Xenopus tropicalis: one gene and its partner. The protein of the gene in region 2 interacts with the protein of the main gene of each other region in a pairwise test. Links are inferred from orthologs where the notes say so. Each region holds a gene or a part of one and is shown on either strand. Other genes may lie near its edges.

Region 1 (10,597 bases), on a different chromosome or scaffold from region 2:
CAATAAGCTTTTTCCTTATTAGTCCTTATTCCTAACTTTTTTTTTGTTTGTCTATGTAAAGTTGGGAGGAACACGGGTCAAAAAAAAATGCCATTACAGTAATGATGCTTCATTGTTATTTGTATATGACAATAAAAGTGAAACTTGAACTAGTGTGGAAATAATGGAAGTAGAATGAACATGTAGGTTCTCCAGTAGGGCAGAAACTACTGTATAATTACAGAATGAAATAATGCATTACAAAAGCACATTATATTTGTAGTATGTAAGCCTCCTTGTTAGAAGCTTTTCAAGTTTACTTAACCGTGTGGGTTTTTTTTTTCCTTCTAACAAGGATCCTGTATAAGTGGCTACTAAAGGTGCCTACCAATGAGAGGTCAACAGACGTTACAAGCCTAACACAGTGGTTGTCATATTTTTTGGTTAAAGATTCCCGCTAGCCAGGTTACAGATGTAGAAAAACATTTTTGTGTATCAGCCAATCAGCCTTAGTTAAAAAATATTGAGGACAACAAATGGGTGTTTTCCCCAAATCACACCCTAGATGACCTTTAAAAGCTGGGCTTCCCAGTTTATCTAAAAGAGCTAAACTCTCCTCATATCTACAGCTAAAAGTTGGGTAAAGAGACTGATTAGTGCTGTGTATTTTTTGACGCATTGTCTGGAACCCAGAGTGGAACAGTGACATCCAACGTAGAACCAACAATCTACTACACCTAAAATAAAAGGGGGGTGCTTGATAATCTTTGTGCCAATGACCCCATGGAGGGAAAAAAGGAACCTGTAAGGCAGCATGGTGAGACTATTATTATTATAAAGCCCACAGAACTATCGTTTTCAGCAGAAAGTACAAAGCAATGCCATTAGCAAAAATTTCTACTTGACACAGGTTCTTTGGTAGATAAACAACATACTGCGACTTTTCATTTGTACAGATATGTATATATGGTTTATTTTTCTTCTCTGAATAAAATAGTCCTTTTTTTCTCTGATTAAAATAGAGCTTCCGAGTCATCGTGTAAGAACAGCCCAGTACCTGCCCTCTATCTACAGATTCAATTTCAGTCATGCTTTTAGTGTGCAGCAACAACCTGCCTACAAGGCAGACACAATTCATGTAGAGACCACATTAAAAACAGAACATTGTCTGTGACTCTATCCAGTAAATGTTTCAGAATGACAAATTAAAACTGTACACTGTACAAAAACTTTTTTTTCTCAACATATTGGTTCCCACACGAGATTTGTGCAATAAGTGCAAATAATGCTTCTTAGTTAATCCAGGATTTGCGGAACTCCTGCTTCCTAGAGAATGCAGACGCTGCCTGATCCCCCGACAGGTAGGCTGCTGTGACTCGTGCCTTGGGAGCTGAAGAGTCTCGAAGCACAGCACTTCTCCTCTTGTCTATGTTCAGTGATGCCTGACCCCATGCAGTGCTGCTACTGCTCCTCTGTGATGAGCCAAGTGCTTTGGTAAGCCGACTGGGGCGGACGAACACTCCGTACTTGGGTTTGCAGCGGAAGTACTCCTTGCCTTTTACAGTCCCATCATGTTTACCTTAAAAGCAGAATAAAACAATTTAATCTTAAAAAAATGTAAACAACCAACCCTACAGCTGTTTTTTTGGGTTGTAGCTTGCTGTATAGCAACATATACAGTGAGGAACATAAGTAATTGAACACCCTGCGATTTTGCACTTAGAAATCATGGAGGGGTCTGAAATTCACACTGTAGGTGCATTCCCACTGTAAGAGACAGCATTTAAAAAAAAAAAAAAAAAAAAGGAAATCACATTGTATGATTTTTAAAGAATGTATAAGTATTTGAACACCTGGCAATCAGCAAGAATTCTGGCTCTCAAAGACCTATTGCTCTGCCTTTAAATAGTCCACCTCTACTCCGCTCATTAATCTAAATTAGTAGCACCTGTCTGAGCTCTTTAAAGACACCTGTCCACCCCACAGTCAGTCAGACTCCAACTACTACCATGGGCAAGACCTAAGAGCTGTCAAAAGACACCAGAGACAAAATTGTGGACCTCCACAAGGCTGGAAAGGGCCACGGGGCAATTGCCAAGCAGCTTGGTGAAAATAGATCAACTGTTTTGGGGGTGCTTTACTGCAAAGGGGACAGGACGACTGCACTGTATTAAGAAGAGGATGACTGGGGCCATGAATTGTGAGATTTTGAGCAACAACCTCCTTCCTTCAGTCAGAGCATTGAAGATGGGTCGTGGCTGGGTCTTCCAACATGACAATGACCTGAAGCACACAGCCAGGATAACCAAGGAGTGGCTCCGTAAGAGGTATTTCAGTCTCCAGACCTAAATCCAATAGAAAATCTTTGGAGGGAGCTGAAACTCTGTGTTGCTCAGCGACAGCCCCGAAACCTGACAGATCTAGAGGAGATCTGTATGGAGGAGTGGGCCAAAATCCCTGTTGCAGTGTGTGCAAACCTGCTCAAGAACTACAGGAAACGTTTGACCTCTGTAATTTCAAATAAAGGCTTCTGTACCAAATATAACACTGATTTTCTCAGGTGTTCAATACAAATAAATTCTTTAAAAATCATACAATGTGATTTCCTGATTTTTTTTTTAACTGCTGTCTCTCACAGTGGGAATGCACCTACAATGTGAATTTCAGACCCCTCCATGTTTTCTAAGTGGGAGAACTTGCAAAATCGAAGGGTGTTCAAATACTTATGCTCCTCACTGTAACTGCATACTAGTCTGAAAGGCATTTATAGAGAGTGTAAAATGTACTTTTAAGTATTGGCTCACACTTAGGGGGGCATTTATTTATGGCTGATTATTTCAGTTTGAGTTTCTTGACGCCAAACAGGATTTCAGATATCCCTTTGACAACTGGAAGATTTTTTTGCTTTGTGGTTTTAGAGATTTTCTGCTTGTTTTAATGCTGGCTTTTGCACAATACGAAAAGGTTGTGATTTTCGTGCAACAAATTGAAAAAGTTGTGGTTTCTGTATTTTTCTGTTACTTTTTTTTGTTTGTGCTTTTTCAATGCGGATCTTTTGATAAATGACTGACATTTAGCATGAATTATGGAGAAAGTAGTTCATAATTCTCACAGAAAAGAACAAAACCCTTTTATTATCCAGCTGCAAGTAGCAACCATTAATATTCCTATATGAAATACAGCTGGGGCAGACATATATATTTATATTTTCATGATTTTATCCCACAGGGCAGGCATATACGTACATCTCCAAAATTAGTCTGAACAGCAGCCAGGAGGCCACTATTCTTTTTCTTACCTAGCTGAGCATGAAGCTCAATTCCAACCCATGTGCCACGTGAGAAATCTACTGTGCCAATGTAGCGCACTGTCCCAGTTTTGTTCTCTCCAATGCATACTTGATCGCCGAGTGCGAGACACAGTGAATTGTGGGAAGGATTGTCTTCAGAGTCAGAAAGATTTAAATTAATTTTTACAAGGGAACTTTCTTCAGAAGAACAAGGGGGAGATTGGCTAAATAAGGCAGCATCACCCAGGCAGTCTGAGTCATTACCATCCTCTGCCAGCCAGTGTTGGCTGGGTGTTGCATTAGGGAGGGCTGCTAGGGAGTTGCACTCAGCTCTATCTTTGTCTCCATTGGAAAATAAAACCAGGGAGTGCTCGTGTTGCTCCAGATCTTTGCCATCCTCAGCCCCCATGAACTCTGTGAATGAATGGTCCTCTAATATAGCACAAGTGTGCTCCACAGCAACTTCACAGGGCAGGAAATGGACAGTGCTTACTTTAGTTTTGTAGGTTGGGGAGTCCACAGAAGAGCAAGATGCACTTCTGAACAGGAGAGCAGCAGCTTTATCAGTAGTGCAATGTGGCACTTTATCAAAGGCACTTTTTTCTGTGAGGTTTGCTAGGCTTGTTGCATTGTCTGTAGAAATTCTACCATTTAGTCCCTTGTGAGAGCAAACTGTATGATCCTTTGCAGAATGGTGAACTAAAATATCTCGGCTTTCAAAATCCCCTGTATGACTGACTAAATGATCCATGCTCTCACTGGAAGGGACCAGTATGTCAGAAAGTGTAGCATTGGACGCACTGTGAGAAAAATAGCCACTAGTAATACTGCTGGTGGTAGGACTCCGAGAAATCTCTTTCTCTAGAGGCCGGGAGCAAATAAAATCTGATTTTGAGGTTATCCAGTCCTTGTTGTCCAGGCTAGCATTGTAAACACTGAAATCAGCAAATTCTTCTGGGATGTAAGGCTGGAAATGCTGAAAACTGCTGGAGTGGATTCCTTTTTTACTGCTCCCATCAAATTCATTATCCTCTTCCTCAGACTCCTTTAAGCAAAACACATAACAGCATTGAGTTAGGAAGTTAATACAGGTATGGGATCTGTTATCTGGAAGCCTGTTATCCAGAAAACAATCATGGTAAGACCATCTGCCATAGACTCCATTTTAACCAAATAATTCAAATTTTTAAAATGTCTATTATTTTTCTCTGGGATAATAGCACAGTACCTTGTACTTGATCCCAACCAAGATAGAATTAAACTTTATTGGAGGCAAAACAATTCTATTGCGTTTGTTTAATGTTTAAATGATCTTATAACAGACCCAAATTACAGAAAGAGAGATCCAAATTACAGAAAGCCAGTATCTGGGAAGGCTATCTGGAAAATCACAGGTCCTGAGCATTCTGGATAACAGGTCCAATACCTGTACTCTTTGAAATGATGGATAAGCTAATACATATCTCTTTACCACATTTACAGTGCTGTCTAATTATATCTATTTTAATATTTGAATGTGTTGTTATATGCATGTTTATTACTGCTGGGTGCATCTGTCACTGGTATTTTATATTATGGGCTTCCCGTGCAGGGATAAAGAACATCAGGGAAGCACCGTAACAGGTACCCTAAGCAGGATATATTAGGATGTGACTCACTGCAGCTACCATTTGCAGAAGAACAAATGGCTTAACCCTGTAAATGATGGTAAGCGTACAGGTTAGATATATATTTGCTGTTAGTGCTCAGAACTAGAGTATAACCTGCCTGGCTGTACAACAGTTCAGGTACCTCTAGTTAGTCATATAACCACTGAACTGGCCATTAAGACATTCTCCTGTCTCTATTTTTTAAACAAATGTAGAAGTATAGGGTAAATGTGTTAAAAACATAACTTTACTGTATGCATAATAATATGATACAGTTGCATAACAATATGATACAGTTGCATAACGCAGGGGCATCTTAGGCTCAGTGCCGCCCTGAGGTGGCCAAGTCAATGCGCCCACTGCACAAAAGGGGGCCTCTTTGCTAGTGCAATAGCGCTCTCTGCATTAGAAGAGATGAAATTCCAATTTAAACATTTTAATTTTGGATCTTTAAGTTACAAGGAGTGGCTTTTTGCTGCCCCTGGTAACTTGCAGAGTGTACCACCCCTGCCTACTCCTCTGTCACTGATTGTAATGTAATAAAAGTAGCACTGGGTCTAGTAACCCACGGCAACCAATAATTAAGATGCATTTACCATTCATATACTTAAACCATATCAACCAATTACATACTTCCTCTTATTAGACCTGGTGCGAGCTTTACACCTTTTATCACATTACAAAGGTTTATTTCTGACATGGACACATTTAGGCTGTGAAATGTACTGTTTAATTAACAGCCAAATGGCTGGTCCAGGAATGTGATTGGTTCATGCAGCCTGGTGGAATAGAAAGCAGGGAAAGCATGAGCAGGAGGAGGAACAGATGCCCTGAAAAAAAGTATCTATGCAAAATCTAACATTCAGTGATAAAGAACTTAGTGTTACAGATTTGTACTCGCTGTTTAAACAACACCCCAAGGTGAAACCCAGACTTACAATGACATCTTCATGAGTGTTATTGTTTTCTACTGGCATGCAGTTGTCATAAGGTCCTGACGGCACAGCAGTGCCAGTGCTAATTGTCTGGGATGAAGGCATGCTCTGCAAAGGGTGAGACACACAACACATCACAGCACAAAAACAAATGTGAACACAAACATTTAAGTGACATGTTAAAACCGCGCAAGTGATACACAAACAAAAGCACGCATATTAAATGTGACACATGCAAACCTAGAGATGTCTTAACCAAGCAATTAATGTGACTCTCATGCAACATGTTTGTGAGAACAATTCATTTTCATAAGGATTTATATAAATATTATTAAGGGACAAATAATATGTTCAAATAAAGTTGTTTTTTTTTAAATATATATATATATGTTTTTTCAATAGTAATTTGATAAAATTTATAACATGGTCATTTTTTGAACTGTGTCTCACACAAAGCTGCACTATGTGGTTGTGTGCTTGGAAAGGAGACTTTGGCTGTGTACTGATAGCCCCTTTTAGTGATATTACCCTAGTGCAGGGCTGTCCAACTGGAGGCCAATGGGCTGGATGTGGCCCTCCTAACAATTTTTATGGCCCCCAGTCTGCTCAAAGGCCCCACAGACTTTAACAGGCCCTTAAACATACTGTATGAGAAGTAATTGTCCCACTACACATAATAAGTTCGACAGCACTGCCCTAGTACATAGACACCAGACCAGTTAAACTATGACAACACATGCTGTGAATATGAGATAAATCAGATAGGAAAGTGCACTGTGATGCAGAAATGGGGAATGACACAAGACACATATTCTGGGGGTGGGGGATAAAGAAACTTTAGCTTGTACACAAATTTGTTTATTCTTCCAAATTCCACTATATGCAGCACATAGTTAGGTTTGCCACATGGATGTATTTTATTTTACCAACCTGACAAGTAAAAATAATGGTTCATGCCAATGTTATTAATAAAAAAAATTAGAATAATATATAGGAAGGCTGTTTTTTTTCCCTAGAAAAAGTGGCAACCCTATGCATAATAATGGTTAACTTCATGTTGCATGTACTTTCCAGTCAGGCCTGAACTGGAAATCTGTGGATTCTACGCCAAAGAGGAGGCTGCTGTAAGATGCCATAGACAGTAGCGATGCACTGAATCCACTATTATGGGATTTGGCCAAACTCTGAATACTTCATGAAAAATTCGACTGAATACTGAACGAAATTTGAATCCTAATTTGCACATGCGCAAGGGTGAAAGAGAACCGTGTGCAGCGAAATTTTTTTAACCTTTGTACTTGGGTGACAAAAAGTCACGTGATTTTAAGGATTCAGATTCAGTTCAGCCAGGCACATGGATTTAGCTGAATCCTGCCAAAAAAGGCCAAATCTTGGCCAAATCCCAAACCAAATTCTGGATTTAGTGCATCCCTAATAGACAGTCACTATTTATTGGGCCTGTGGGGGCTGTTTGGGCCTCTGTGTACTTGAAATGCCAAGGCCTATTTTGAATCCCAGTCCAGACCTGCTTCCACTACTGGGCTCATCATTATAGCAGCACCAGCCTGTTCCCATGACATGCTGTGATTTTACAGACCATGACAGATAGCACAGTATGAAAACAGTCACTTCTTAATATTCCACCCCTGTTTCCCAAAAATGGTTGCGAAAAGGTAACTTACCATAACAGTGAAACAACCTGGCATTTTACCCAGAAAGGGTAAACTTCCCTACACTGGTGGAACATTGCCAAAGATTATTGCTTTGGCAGGACTCATTATTAGACGCCAAGAAGTTGCAGCTTTGTATATTATAATGGTAATCTGAATTTGTATTTTTTATAAATCACCTATAAATAAGCAAAAAAAAGGTCTGCACTTGAGCAACATGATGTATGGAAAGAAGGTTCTGTACCTCTTGACTGAGGAGAGGCTGGGTTTCAACAGGAATCTTTCTTTTGTGCTCCTCCCTGACAGGCATCAGTGGATTGAAGAATTTTGGTGGTTGATGAGAAAATGTTTTGAATGGACTTAAAGCATGTATACTGTCTGGTATACTGCCTGGAAAACAAAACTCATGTCATTTATACAACTTATAGTTAAAGGGGAACAATCATGAAAAATGTTTTTAGAATATTAAAAGCTATAAACTGTTAAAATGTTTGTCTAGACTTTATATTTTCAAATTTTTTTTCACCGTTACAATGTTATGACTAATTATTGAAGCGGCCTCCCATCCCCCACCTTCCAGAATCTCTGGCTCTCTGGTCTGTCAGTGACGCAGAAATGTGTGAGTGACAGAGCAGAGAGAAATCTGATTTGCTGCAGCATGTCATGAGGCCACACCCCTCAGAAGCAAACACGTGCAAAGGGATAGTAAAGGAATGGAGCCAGGCTGGGGGCTGATGAAGATCGATTTCTACATATAAGAGTAGAGCCCCTTATTGTTTCTATCCACATATACACAGCACTTCAGGCTCTTTTGCATTTGGGTTTTTTGCTGCTCACCAGTAACCTTAGATCAGCTGCACCCTCCAGCAATTTACACATGCATATTAATATATTACTTCAATAGCCAGATACAAATGTAACAAGAGTGTATAAAAGAGACTTCCTCCATACCAGTGACACATCAACTGCAGCAATATTACAGACCTCTGCACAGGCAACTGTGTGTGTACAGGCACATAGACTCCTGTATGTTGGATTCACAGAAACCTCTCTATCAGAACACTCGTGTAAACTGACTGCCAGGCTTTCAGGCTTCTTGATTAACCACCTCTAATCAGGCCCACCTGGTCAGTCTGTAGCATTTACTCTGCTAAGGCTGATGCCACACGTGGCGATATCATCATCCATAGAAATAGCTTGAAAAGACTCGAAGCAAACCACACAATGCGGAAATACGCTAGAAAACGCCTTAGCACGGATATTTCAAGCGTAGGCCGAAATACGCCAGTATTTGCAAAGCAAGCTATTCCTATGTATACGCAAAGGCAGCTGCCAGACCTAGCGGAAATACGCAGCGTTTTTTGCTATTTTGCACTATTAGCACCATGGAAACGGGATTTGCTTACGTCACCAGTATTAGGCTGAAAAACGCCATAGTCAGGGGCTGTGTGGCTTGTGCGGCGTTTTTAGGCCGAGAAAAAACGCAGCGGAAAAACGCCACGTGTGGCATCAGCCTAAAGCCAGTCAATGTAATCTTAAGAAACAGCTATATAGTCTGCTATCAATTAGCTTGTATACATATAAAGAGTGACTATGCTGTTATAGCACGAACAGTAGCACAAGTTACTGTTCCTACAACATCTATTTATAAGTTATTCAAAGGGCAAATTGTAGTTTTATGGGAATGTGCAAGTGGATGCCCTAAAGCTATTGTTTAACTACAACAATCACCTGCTAGTTCTTTTGGCGTGTATGTTTCAAATTGCTGGGCCTTTGTGGCAAATAACTAGATTGCTGCTGCTCAATAATAGTGATATTTGGCTTCTTTCATGTTTTTCTAATAAATAATCAAGAAATCTCTATGTTCTATGTGTTTGTTAGTGACTCAGGTAAGTTAGAGGGAAAGTGTCAGACAATGTAAGGGTGAATTGGGTTGAATTTTAGAAGCCTTTTCCAGATTTTCTATTAGATAGGAAAGATGGGCAGGTGGGGGATGAACTTCTTGATGTCAGTCAAGAATGGTTGGAACACTCCCACCTCTGCTCAGAACACAAGCTGCCTGTCAGTACTGAGCCAAGTTAAGCCCATTCATGATAGTTTAAACATAATAGGCCTTATTTACAAAAAAGAGACAAAGTGCAAAAAACATGTCAAAGTGCCATGATTTTAAATACCTGTATTATTCACCTTGCACCAATGGAATTGCGCCCAGAATGTCTGTAGTGCTGCCTGTGTTTGGAGGTGTTGCTTACAGGAGCAGCAGGTAGTCTAGAGCACATGGCCATCTCCTGACTTGCTTGTCATTTGGAGCACAAAAGATAGAAGTATGGGCAATGCAAAGTTCTAGGAAGCCTTGTATTTACTGCCAGTTTATGGAAACTGCCAGGCCTAGACTGTGGCTGCTATAAGATGCTATAGACAGTCACTATTTAGTGGGCTGGTGAGGGGCTCTTTGGGCCTCTGTGTTCCTGAAATGCCAGGGCCTGTTTTTATTCCCTGTCCAGGTTTGGCAGATACTATGCACAGAGCGCTTCCTTGTGCCTGTTGGTACTGCACTTGGCACTACATGCAAGTAGTTTGTTAATAGTGCTCTATAGGCTGTGATTTTGCTTAGCCCTTCATAAATAACAGCTAATTTGTTTTTTCAACGGAGTTCTAAAATTGATAAAGCCTACAATAATGTATAATACAGGAGAAATACAAGTGGGATATAAAGTTGTTTCAAGTTGTATACAAGTGAACAAGTAAATAAAATACTGTATGTAATGTTTATTAGTAATTTAAGTGATTACCAGCCAAATAATTTTAGGTTAGATACTCCAAATTTCTAGAACCTAACATGCATTTTGCACTGCAATGGTGCTTCTAACCAGGGTTGCAGTGCGAAATGAGCATCAGTTTTTACAGCACCATGCTACCACACTTACTCTTTTACAGCATGCGGTCCAGAGGTATACAATGCTTACACTATATCTGAGTATGATCAAATGGCGTATTACTGTGTAATGTTCTGTCCAACTTTGGGCATTCTGCTTTGCTTATTTGAGTGCATTAGATCCATTCTATGTGTACGGA
Region 2 (10,085 bases):
CTCAACATTTAGGGGCAGATTTATTAAAATATGAGTTTAGAGCTTAATACATAAAAACTCCCCCATATTCTATTCGTTTATGTATTAAGCTCTAAACCAGGGGTGGGCAAACTTTTTGGCTCAGGGGCCACTGACTTACAGACGGCCCGGGCCGGACCAACGTTATGCCCAGGGCCGCCATTAGAAATCACGGGGCCTCTCAGCTCCCACCCAGCATCCTTCAGCTCACCCCCAGCATCCTCCAGCTCCTCCCTCAGCATCCCACCCAGCATCCTCCAGCTCCCTGCAGTTCCCCCAGCATCCTTCAGCTCCCCCCTTCAGCATCCTACTCAGCATCCTGCAGCTCCCCCCAGCGTTCTTCCCATCATCCTCAATATCCTCCCACCAGCTCGCTCTCCCATTTTTTTATAAGGTTGCGCCCCGTGCGTTCCGACGTCACGCGCACGCACGGGGCGCAACCAATCAGGATTCGGCGGGCCGGATTAAAAAGGTAAACGGGCCGGATGTGGCCCGCTGGCCGTAGTTTGCCCACCCCTGCTCTAAACTGACATTTTTATAAATCTGCTCCATCCTTCTAGGGTGATATAAAGGTAGACATGAACAGGGTAAATCTTTATGGCATCATTTTAAAATTAAAATTTTCTTCCATTTGCTTTTTCTTCCTTCTTAAGAGATTATATTCTTGCCTGCTAATGCACACCCCTTTATAATAAACAGTATGTGGCAAGATCATGTGAAAATCTTCAAAAATGATGGTACATTCATGAATTTTCTGTATCTTAACAAGCAATGAACGGGGTACCAGGCTCTGTGGCACCTTAATAGCAAATCCAGCTTTCATGTGTTTCTTTTTTCCCCCAAAATGCAAGTTCGGCAACTGACTCCATGCACAGATACAATTCAACACAGAAGTGGTTTTGTTTTCACTTACAAAATTAGCAATAAATTCACACATTTAAAAGTTTTTTTTATATACATACATTTTTATCCAAGTTACTCCATATTAAGTTAATAAGAAACAGTACAAACCATCTCTTAAAACATAACAAGCAGATCGCTTCACCAAACCTACTAAAAAGAACATGATATATATCTTAATCCCATTTTTACCCATCCCAGAAAAATAAAGGCTTAAAATGTTGGGTAGGTGATGGTGCGAGAGCATAAAATCAACACTTCATTATTTGGTCCATGTTTGGTTTTCTGATTGAAAAGTAGGTTCATTCTTTTCCCAGAGGTCCCTTCCTGGTACGTCCAACCTCTATCCATAAAGAACTACATCCATCATCTTGAAAGGAAGGCTGGCGAGGATCAGGATAATACTTAGTTCTTCACAACAGTCTCGTAAGCTTGGAAGACGAACTGGGATACTTCGGGTGCACAGCACTTTAGAGACAGCTATTTACAAATACAATTGAGGTTAAGACTAAGTAAAGGCAATATTAATCCTTTTAGGAGAATAAAACAGTGCTTGTGAAGTTATCCCTTGCTATATGTAACCCATTACTGCCTGGTTACCTTCATCATGCAGGCATTATTTTAGTGGGTTCTGCTTATTAAGGGAAGAATCCTTTTAAATTTTAGTTACAAACTGTCTTGTGTATTTTAGAGAAAGTCTGTGAAAAGCTTGCTCAGGAATATCAGCAGTATTTATTAAACAATTTAATTTAATTTTAATGTAATTTTCCATCATGCCAAAAAATATCTGAGGGTGAATTACAGGAAAAGCAGTCAGTTTATTCTGAGCTGCAGCATATCTGCCATGTAGAAGTAAAATACAATACTGACAAAGTGGTATGGAAGGCTACTTTCCTTCCTTTTGGGTGGCTCTCCAAAGAAAAAAACATCTTTACAAATCTCATGTAGATGCTGACACTCTGCAGCCTTTAAAAAGTATTAATGAGCTAAAACAAAACAACCATACCCAATATCTAATGATTAGTGAACATATAATAAACTACACTGATTTTTACACATAAACCCACCACACATAATTCCACCTTTTCAGATGTTGGTTTATTGAGATATATATTGAGCAATATATATAAAAAAAAAAAAAAACGGTTAATTGTTGACTACTCACTGTGCAGTTGGGGCTACCAGGTTGCATTCTCACTTCTGCTAAAACCCAGATGCCATTGGTAAGCTTCATTGATTGGTAAAGCATATCTTGACCTTCAACTGTTCTTCGGGCCACCGTGAAGATATTGCTAGCCTGCAGCTTGTTGCTTACTGCATCTGCAATTTCAAAACAGTAATACAGCTGTAGAATATACACATATCCAATTATTTAGGGTAAAGTAACATGAATGCATTAATCCTGAAAGAAGGTACTAGTCATATAATGCTTTCAGAGGCCCTTTGACAGCACAATACTAAAATAAACTACCACCACAGTTATATAGCTGTTTGAAACTCACATTCAGCAGATGACAAAAAAAAGTAGCACACATCTAACCTGCTCAGCCAGCAATATGATGTTAACCGTAAATCATGCAATCATGCACCATAGACAGAGTTTCCTTACCTGAACCTGTAGGGCAGTCTCTTATTTGAAACTGTGCCTCATTCTCATTTGCTATATCCTTCCACGTGGCCAAAAACATCTGTCGCTCTTGAAGAGAGATTACAATTGGTTAAAAGAATATGAAACAGAATATGAATGAATAGGAAAAGGATAAATAATAGGGATGCACTGAACCCAGGATTCTGTCAAGATTCGTCTTTTCAGCAGGATTTGGCCAATTCCATGTGCCTGGCCGAACCGAATCAGAATCCTTAAAATCACATGACAGTTTGTCACAAAATAGTGTGTCTAATTTTATGTTAGACATCATTAGTCCTTAAACAGTTTACTTGGCATATGAGAAAAATTTATAAAGTGATATTGAGTTCTAAATAGGTCAGTGTTGTTCCTGGAAGATGCCATCCTTTCTCTAAGAAGTATGTACATCTATTTAAAATCAGTTATTGTACTGACAAGCCACCGCAGTCAGGTTTCTACATGCGCCTCTGCGATGCACACTGTACCACATGTAATAAACAACGGGTTCTTGCTTTCATTTTCAAGTGAAAAAATTAATTAATTAATTGCACTTCTGCATGTTTTTCAAATTCCCATTAAAACAGGGCAATAATGGGAGCCGTGCATACTGATGCCTCTTTCACTTACCCATCTTTCCATCTTCTATGAAAAGTATGTGTAGAGGGTACAAGATACTGAAGTAAAATACATCTATATTGTTCTTTACAGCAACCTATACAGGAAAGAAAACAAAGTATGTCTTTTCTGTGTTTAGCTACATACAACATGCAAAAGGCAAGGCCAACTTTTAGCTTCCCTCTCCCCATACCAGGTGTCCCTCTAACACGGTCTCAAAAATTAAATGCTAAGCAGAAACAGAACATGACTAAACATGACATACTTTAATGTAAGCAGCAAGCTAGCCATGCTATCATCATATTATAGGGCTATAAAGCTCAGTTTGTTAAATATCAGTTTAATGGTAAGAAACCTGTATACAGTATTAAAATGACTGTTTGTAAATGTACAAAGTATTTCACTGCAAGCTTATTGTTATCATAAATAGAATAACACAAACATTTTACCTGAAGGTTGTTAAGAGGTTCCATTTTCATGACAGAGCCAATTGTGTTTATCGGAAGAGACACTTCAGTAGACTGGTTTGGTGCCAAGGGTGTGAGTATCTGGAGAGGAGCAGCAGGTGCCAGCCCAAAACTGTAAGGCAAAGAGGAAGATAAACCGAATGGCACCATAAAGATTATTCCTTCAAACTTGATACGGAATGTACAGAATGTCTCAATTTGTTACCTATTGCGATTGAACTGAATAGCAAAGTCACTCATGACCTGGAGTGCTCGATTGGTGAAAACCAGGTCCATGAATACTGTTCCAGATCTTCGAGCAAAGGTACCACTAATTTCCAGGCCTTTCCCTTTCATAGCATGCAACCATACCTTAAAGAAAATATGTACAGAAGGCCAATCTTAGTGTTATATTGACATATAATTTCTTCCTTATTGCAGCAATTTGACTTTACCCTCCTCATTACCAAACAGCAGAAAAAGTCAGTTCTAGGTAGCCCTTCTCTATTATATGGCAGCATGGTTTTATTACAGCAATATAACTATATTGAGTAACCTCCCTTCTGATAAACAGCAGAGCACATTTATTGCTACAAACTACCGTAACCCATTATTTCATACTTAATAATAATGCAGCAGCACTAGAGGAAGAAACTGCCATGGTGGGTCCATATCTCTGTTATTTGCACTGTCCCTAGATCCCCTATCACACTTCATTAGAATGATCCCCTTCTTTAAAGGTCTGCAAGTGGGGAACTGTAACAACTACAATATCAATCTGCTTGTAGATGATATACTATGAACATTAAGAAAACCACAGACCTCTCTCTCCCATATCTATTCAAAACCCTGACTCAGTTTCAGGTTACAAAAACAATCCTGTCAAATCTCAGGCTCTGCCCCTTTCATTATCGTGGAATTAAAATTAATTTTGCATTCTGCTGGTCACAACATTCCATAACATATTTGGGTGTACATTTGGCTACTACTTTGATACAAAGTACACAGAAAACTATCCAGGCCTTATAACAAAGTAAAATGAGACCTGGAGACCTGCAACAGGCATAAACTGTCATGGTTCAGCCACACAGCATCAGTAAAGATGATCACTCCCCAGAATTCTCTCTTTCGGACACTTCATATTTACTTTCCAGAAAAAAAAAAATCTCTAAATTTATATGGGTGTCCTAGTATAAAACCTTACATTCTCACAAAGCCCTAATCCATTGGAAGTCTTGGTGTCTTGGAATCCACACCTGGTTGAACATTCAAACAGCGATTATAGTTAATGGTTTCATACATATGGTGTCATACATACTCTTCCAAATGTTTTACTGTAGGATTAAAGCGAATACCAACTCCTCGTAGGCCTAAGAATCCATACCATAAAGATTCAAAGTAACTGCAAACTAGCAACTAGCAAACTTATCAAAATGTGATAAAAATCACCCATGTTCTAATCAATCCCATAGGAATGAATATAACTTGAACATGGGGTGTGTTTTAAAGCTCTAAACTCACATTTTGATAATCTGCCCCATATTCTCCCACAGCCAGCCAAAAAAATGTTACACCTTCCCGGCAAAGATACTCTAAAATAGGCTTCAAACTTGTAACAAGTTTAAAAAAAAAACAAAAAAACAAAACAGTTTTCATTAGAAATGGGGTAATAGGACTCACTGCTTTTGGAGCCACATAAGGTCCAGGGACCCCACCTGTTCCACCACCTAGATCAAAAAGATCTCCCAGACCTCCGCCAAGAGATTGGCCAAGAGGATTTGCAGCCACAGGGGGAGCCATGAATCCTGTAGGAAGCTGTAGGACAGAAATTGTTAGGAATTATGGGAAACATAGAAAGTACAAAAACATTTGCATTAAAGGGCTTCAGCATTTGAGCATATATAACAGAATATATGCATGGGTGTACAATAACAAACACTGTGTTATAGCCACCAGAAATGAAATACTCACTTGAAAAAGTGAAGAGATGAAGAGAAAGGTTTAAACGAATAGATGGATAAAACAGAAAGAAAGCAGCAAATGATTATCCATCAAAGGTTATAGACAGCTGCGAACTTACCCCCAAACCAGTGCTTGCGTCTCCGCCCAGCTACAAAAAAGAATGAAGAAAAATATGGGAATTCAAAGCAACCTTATAACAGTTTCCTAAAGATATTCTGTGGAAGCTTTAATGCCAGTTCTTAATAAATAGAATAATTTAGGTGAGGGGTATAACACTTTGCCTTTACAACCATGTGTGCGGTTTCTTATATGATACAGAACAGGCCAAAAGGCAACAGCTTAAATGAGGTCCTGACAGTATGTGTAATGTATCTGTATGTAAGCAAGCTACTCCCGCCCCCAAAAAAAGCAGAGTGAAACAAAGCACAAAAAAAATCATAATAAATATCACATTTCTAAGTGGCTGTTGTTGATTAAAATTATGTAATTCTAATTTATATATTTCCTACATGTAACTGGAGAGATGTACAGCAACAGTTAGTTTCCTTAATTACATACCAAACTATCTAATCCTCCACCAAGCAAGTCCACACCTCCTAAGGGAACAGAACTTGTAGTAAGTGGAGGCCCAGTAATGGGTGGAGCTAGATCCAAGTTAAGGAGATCCCCCAGAAGGTCTCCTTGTGATGGAATGACAGAGGGGTGAGTCTCTGTGGGAACACCTGCGGGTGCTGCCTCTGGACTTTCTGCACTCTCGCTCCTACAGAAAAATAAATAAAGTTAGAGGGTTAGTCAATAGCTATAACACACTACAGACACATAGGATGCATCACCCATATACTTACGAGCCAGTGCGTGGCGGGAGCCTCTTAGGCACAACCCCTCTGCTTCCCTCCACAAAGGCATTAGGAGGCTTGTGGTAGACAGAAGCCAATGTTCCAATGTAACATATAAGCTCATCTAGCAAAGTGGGCTCAATTAGGTCAGTCTCTTCAGAAATCAATGGCTTCTCTGCTAAGACAACTTCTTTAGCAGCAACTGGGTCAGTGGACAGGAGCCTCCAATAGATGTAGCCACGATCCCGAAGATCTGGATTATCTGAATCCTAATGGACATACAAACAAGAACAGAATTTATATTGTATGACTGGTCATGTGGCGAAAGATGAGAGATCAAAAACCCAATCCTATTAGTCGGGCAAATTTATGCTATACTTAAAGAACTATCATAAAGAATCAATATGCTCTTACTGCCAAATAACAAAACCACAAACATAGGAGTTATATAAGTATTATGCAGTAGAACAGACATTGTAGCTGCTGGAACATAGTAGAATCCTGTGGTACATAGGTAAATAAGTAAGTAAATAAGGCTAATAGCCCACCACAGTATTTCACTAAATACGGTTAGCATCCTCCCTATCTCTTTCTGTTATTATGACTACCATCCTCTTAATTCCTTTTAGCACTTAAAATCTGGCTTCTTGACAGTTTCTTTCAGTAAACATGCCTATAAGTTTATTACAGTAAACATGGCAAAAAATCTGCTATTTTTAGGACTAGCATTATACCTTTCTTTCAGTTAATGCAGCTAGCATCCTAATGGTTTCTTTTAAATATGATTAGCATCCTGCCAGTATACATATGGATAATATCTTGTCTTCTTTCCATAAAAATATCTAGCATCCTGCCAGCTTTTTTCAGCAAATACATCCACTGTTTTGCCAGTTCCTTTCAGTAAATACTATTAGAATTCTTCTACCTTGTTTCTGCACGTCTAGCACCATGTCTGCTGCTTTAAATATGGATAGCATTACCTGTATCAGTAAATACTGCTATAATCCTACGAGTATTTAGTAAGCAAGTCAAGCACCCTGCTAGTGTTTTTCAGAAAATACAGCTAGCATACTACATATTTTGTTCAGGATAAAATGAAAAACAGCAGCACTCCGGTAATGTTGAAGAAAAAAGTGACTTTTACTCAAGTGCACAAGGCAACGTTTCGGGCTTCAACCCAGCCCTTTATCAAGCCTTTATTCAGCGTGCACCTGGGGCTACAACTAGCCGGTTTGTTCATTGTGTAGCACACCTTAACCAATTTGTTGACATATTTTGTTCAGAATATATGTCTAACGTGCTTTTATTTCAGTACATATTCCTAGCATAGCATAATATCGGTTTCTGTAAATATGAATAGCATCTTGCTTATTATTGTCAGTAAATATGATTAGAATCCTTTTGTGAAACACATAAAGCTGAATAAGCCACGGGATGCCAGTTTCTAAAACAGCCAGTGCCCATCAGTAACTAATTAATACAAAATTTATCAGGATAAAGCTACTGAGTTAAAGGCAAAGGGTCTGTGCCAGTCAGCAGACTCATACACACCTGTGTTGCTAAACTCAATACTTGTTGCACCAGTTCCTGGGTCTCAGTTGGTTTTTTCAAGAAAAGCTTCACAATTGCTGTTAGAAGTTGTAACTGGACCTAAAAAAAAAAAAAAAAAGATATAATTTACTTGCAGGATCCATCTTGGATTTTTAATGTATATCAGTGGTTGACAAACTGTGGGGCTGTCACCCCAGGTGTCTCAGAGAACTGGCTGGGGATCCCAATCTGAAGGCTGGGTTGAGTGAGCATAAGGGCAATGACACAAATAGATTAATTGCCCCGCAATTAACTTCAGATGGCTTTGGAAAGCTGAAGTGGCACATATGTTTTCCTACCGGAGATTTACATTTTCACCTGTAGGAAAGCATTCAAGCAAATTAGTCACTGCTGCTAGAGGAGATTAATCACAGGGCAACTAATCTCCTCATGTATCATTACCCTAAGGGAGAATTTCCATGTGCTCTCCTCTTTTTACCTAGAAACTATGAAATTCTGAATTATGGCTGAATGGCTATTACACTAATGTGTCTTACATATGTAACCATATGATCTTAGGAAGCTCTCATAAAATGCAGTGCCTGAAAAGGGAACTAAAGCTGAAAAAGGTAAAAAAAAAAATCACTGCTGTATGTTTAATATAGTATATCAATTTTACTGTATAACTCCATCATTCTAAAAACCTGTGGTGGACCAGTGAAATATAAGCAGTTTCCTAAGGGCCGTGACTAATCTCCCCACAATGCCATCCCACCGGCTAGAATGTAAATCGACGGCGGGATGGCATACGCGGCGGCGCAATTGCCAAAGTCACTGAAGTTTCCTTGAGAGGAAACTTCGCGACTTCACTGTCACAGCCCTAAAGTCAGCAAACTGATCCATACCTAAACAGTCTTTCACTAGGAACTTGAACTAGACAGCATTCTTTGAAATTCGACTGCAAGACATATAGTGCAAAACTAGCACCTGGATATATATATATCTAGAACAATGCCAGACAGTGCCTTAGCCAGTTTTTAACATGCACAGAACAAGCATTGTTCATACCTATTCTGTGTGCTTAAAAGTGGCAATTATACAGGTAAATTCTAGTGTCTAATTTAGCCTCTCAATTTTAACTGCAAACTTGTATCTTGCCTGTGTGCTCTCATCATGGAATCCCTCCAGGAAGCTCTCTAGTAGCTCGTCTGCATTGTCTATGCGTTCTGCATATTCCCCCACAATCCAAATCATTGCAGCCCGAGCCTCCGGCTCATCCAGAGAGTCCAGGTTCTCACATAAAGTTGATATGACACTTTCATACCTTAAGAGCAAGAAAAAAAGATTTAGTATAATTGTCAATAGAAGCTTATTCTTACATATCAATTAGATTATATGATTTGTAAGATGCAGGCAGAAGGAGAAATTGCAGCAAAGTAAGACTTGATTAATGAAGACTCAAGCACACCTACTTGTTTGGATACTTCCTGAATATGTCCTTTATCACCACGATGGCTTCCTGAACTACATAATTGACTTTGGTTTGGATGAGATCAAGCAAGGTGCTAACGCAGCGCTCTGCAGATTGCTGTAGGAAAGGTCAATTTTTTGTGATTTTAGTTCATCATGTTAATTAATTCTTGGTTAAAACAGTTTAGAAAATATAGTCTTTTACCTCCACCTTGATGGCACAACGTCCGATTGCTCTTACAGCTTTGCGCACAAAGTCAACATCCACTTCTGTGGCATATTCCTTCAGCTCAGCAAGAACCTAAAGAAAGGAGTTAAAGGAAAACTTTAAGAGAGCGCAGAGGAACTCATAAAACTCATAGCAGACATACAAAAAAAGGAGCCTTTGCGGTTCCAAAAATGTAACATAGGGAAAACTAAATTACAAGATTAGTACATTACACCTTCTTTTATTCCAAACATCCTGGATGTATGTCAGATATTATAGAGAAAATGAAAATTAAACTTGGCTCATTATTGTACTTCCTTGATGGAAAAATAGTACAGTGTAATGTAACAGCCGGATACATAACACAGTAAATAGTAGATGAAACAAAACTACGTCTAGACAGGATATATTTATTCAAAGTCAGTGGGCCACAAAGTACAGACCAGCCAAAAAGAAAGATACTCAGTGAGGCT

Evidence for each region.
Region 1: the proteins of ap1b1 (region 2) and kif13a interact in binary tests that used the Homo sapiens proteins (3 or more experiments, as listed by UniProt). The link is inferred for Xenopus tropicalis from reciprocal best matches to the Homo sapiens genes AP1B1 and KIF13A.

The regions. Positions count from the first base shown.
Region 1 is NC_030682.2:92,845,450-92,856,046, reverse strand, and holds part of kif13a (kinesin-like protein KIF13A), read right to left. Parts: intron 7,913-10,597; coding exon 7,767-7,912; intron 5,961-7,766; coding exon 5,856-5,960; intron 4,314-5,855; coding exon 3,278-4,313; intron 1,559-3,277; coding exon 1,272-1,558; 3' UTR 1-1,271. UniProt on the Homo sapiens protein: Plus end-directed microtubule-dependent motor protein involved in intracellular transport and regulating various processes such as mannose-6-phosphate receptor (M6PR) transport to the plasma membrane, endosomal sorting during melanosome biogenesis and cytokinesis.
Region 2 is NC_030677.2:144,883,806-144,893,890, reverse strand, and holds the end of ap1b1 (AP-1 complex subunit beta-1), read right to left. Parts: intron 9,706-10,085; coding exon 9,610-9,705; intron 9,523-9,609; coding exon 9,407-9,522; intron 9,259-9,406; coding exon 9,093-9,258; intron 8,055-9,092; coding exon 7,956-8,054; intron 6,674-7,955; coding exon 6,414-6,673; intron 6,329-6,413; coding exon 6,127-6,328; intron 5,717-6,126; coding exon 5,687-5,716; intron 5,422-5,686; coding exon 5,287-5,421; intron 3,979-5,286; coding exon 3,833-3,978; intron 3,740-3,832; coding exon 3,610-3,739; intron 3,258-3,609; coding exon 3,173-3,257; intron 2,615-3,172; coding exon 2,528-2,614; intron 2,239-2,527; coding exon 2,084-2,238; intron 1,399-2,083; coding exon 1,324-1,398; 3' UTR 963-1,323; downstream 1-962. UniProt on the Homo sapiens protein: Subunit of clathrin-associated adaptor protein complex 1 that plays a role in protein sorting in the late-Golgi/trans-Golgi network (TGN) and/or endosomes.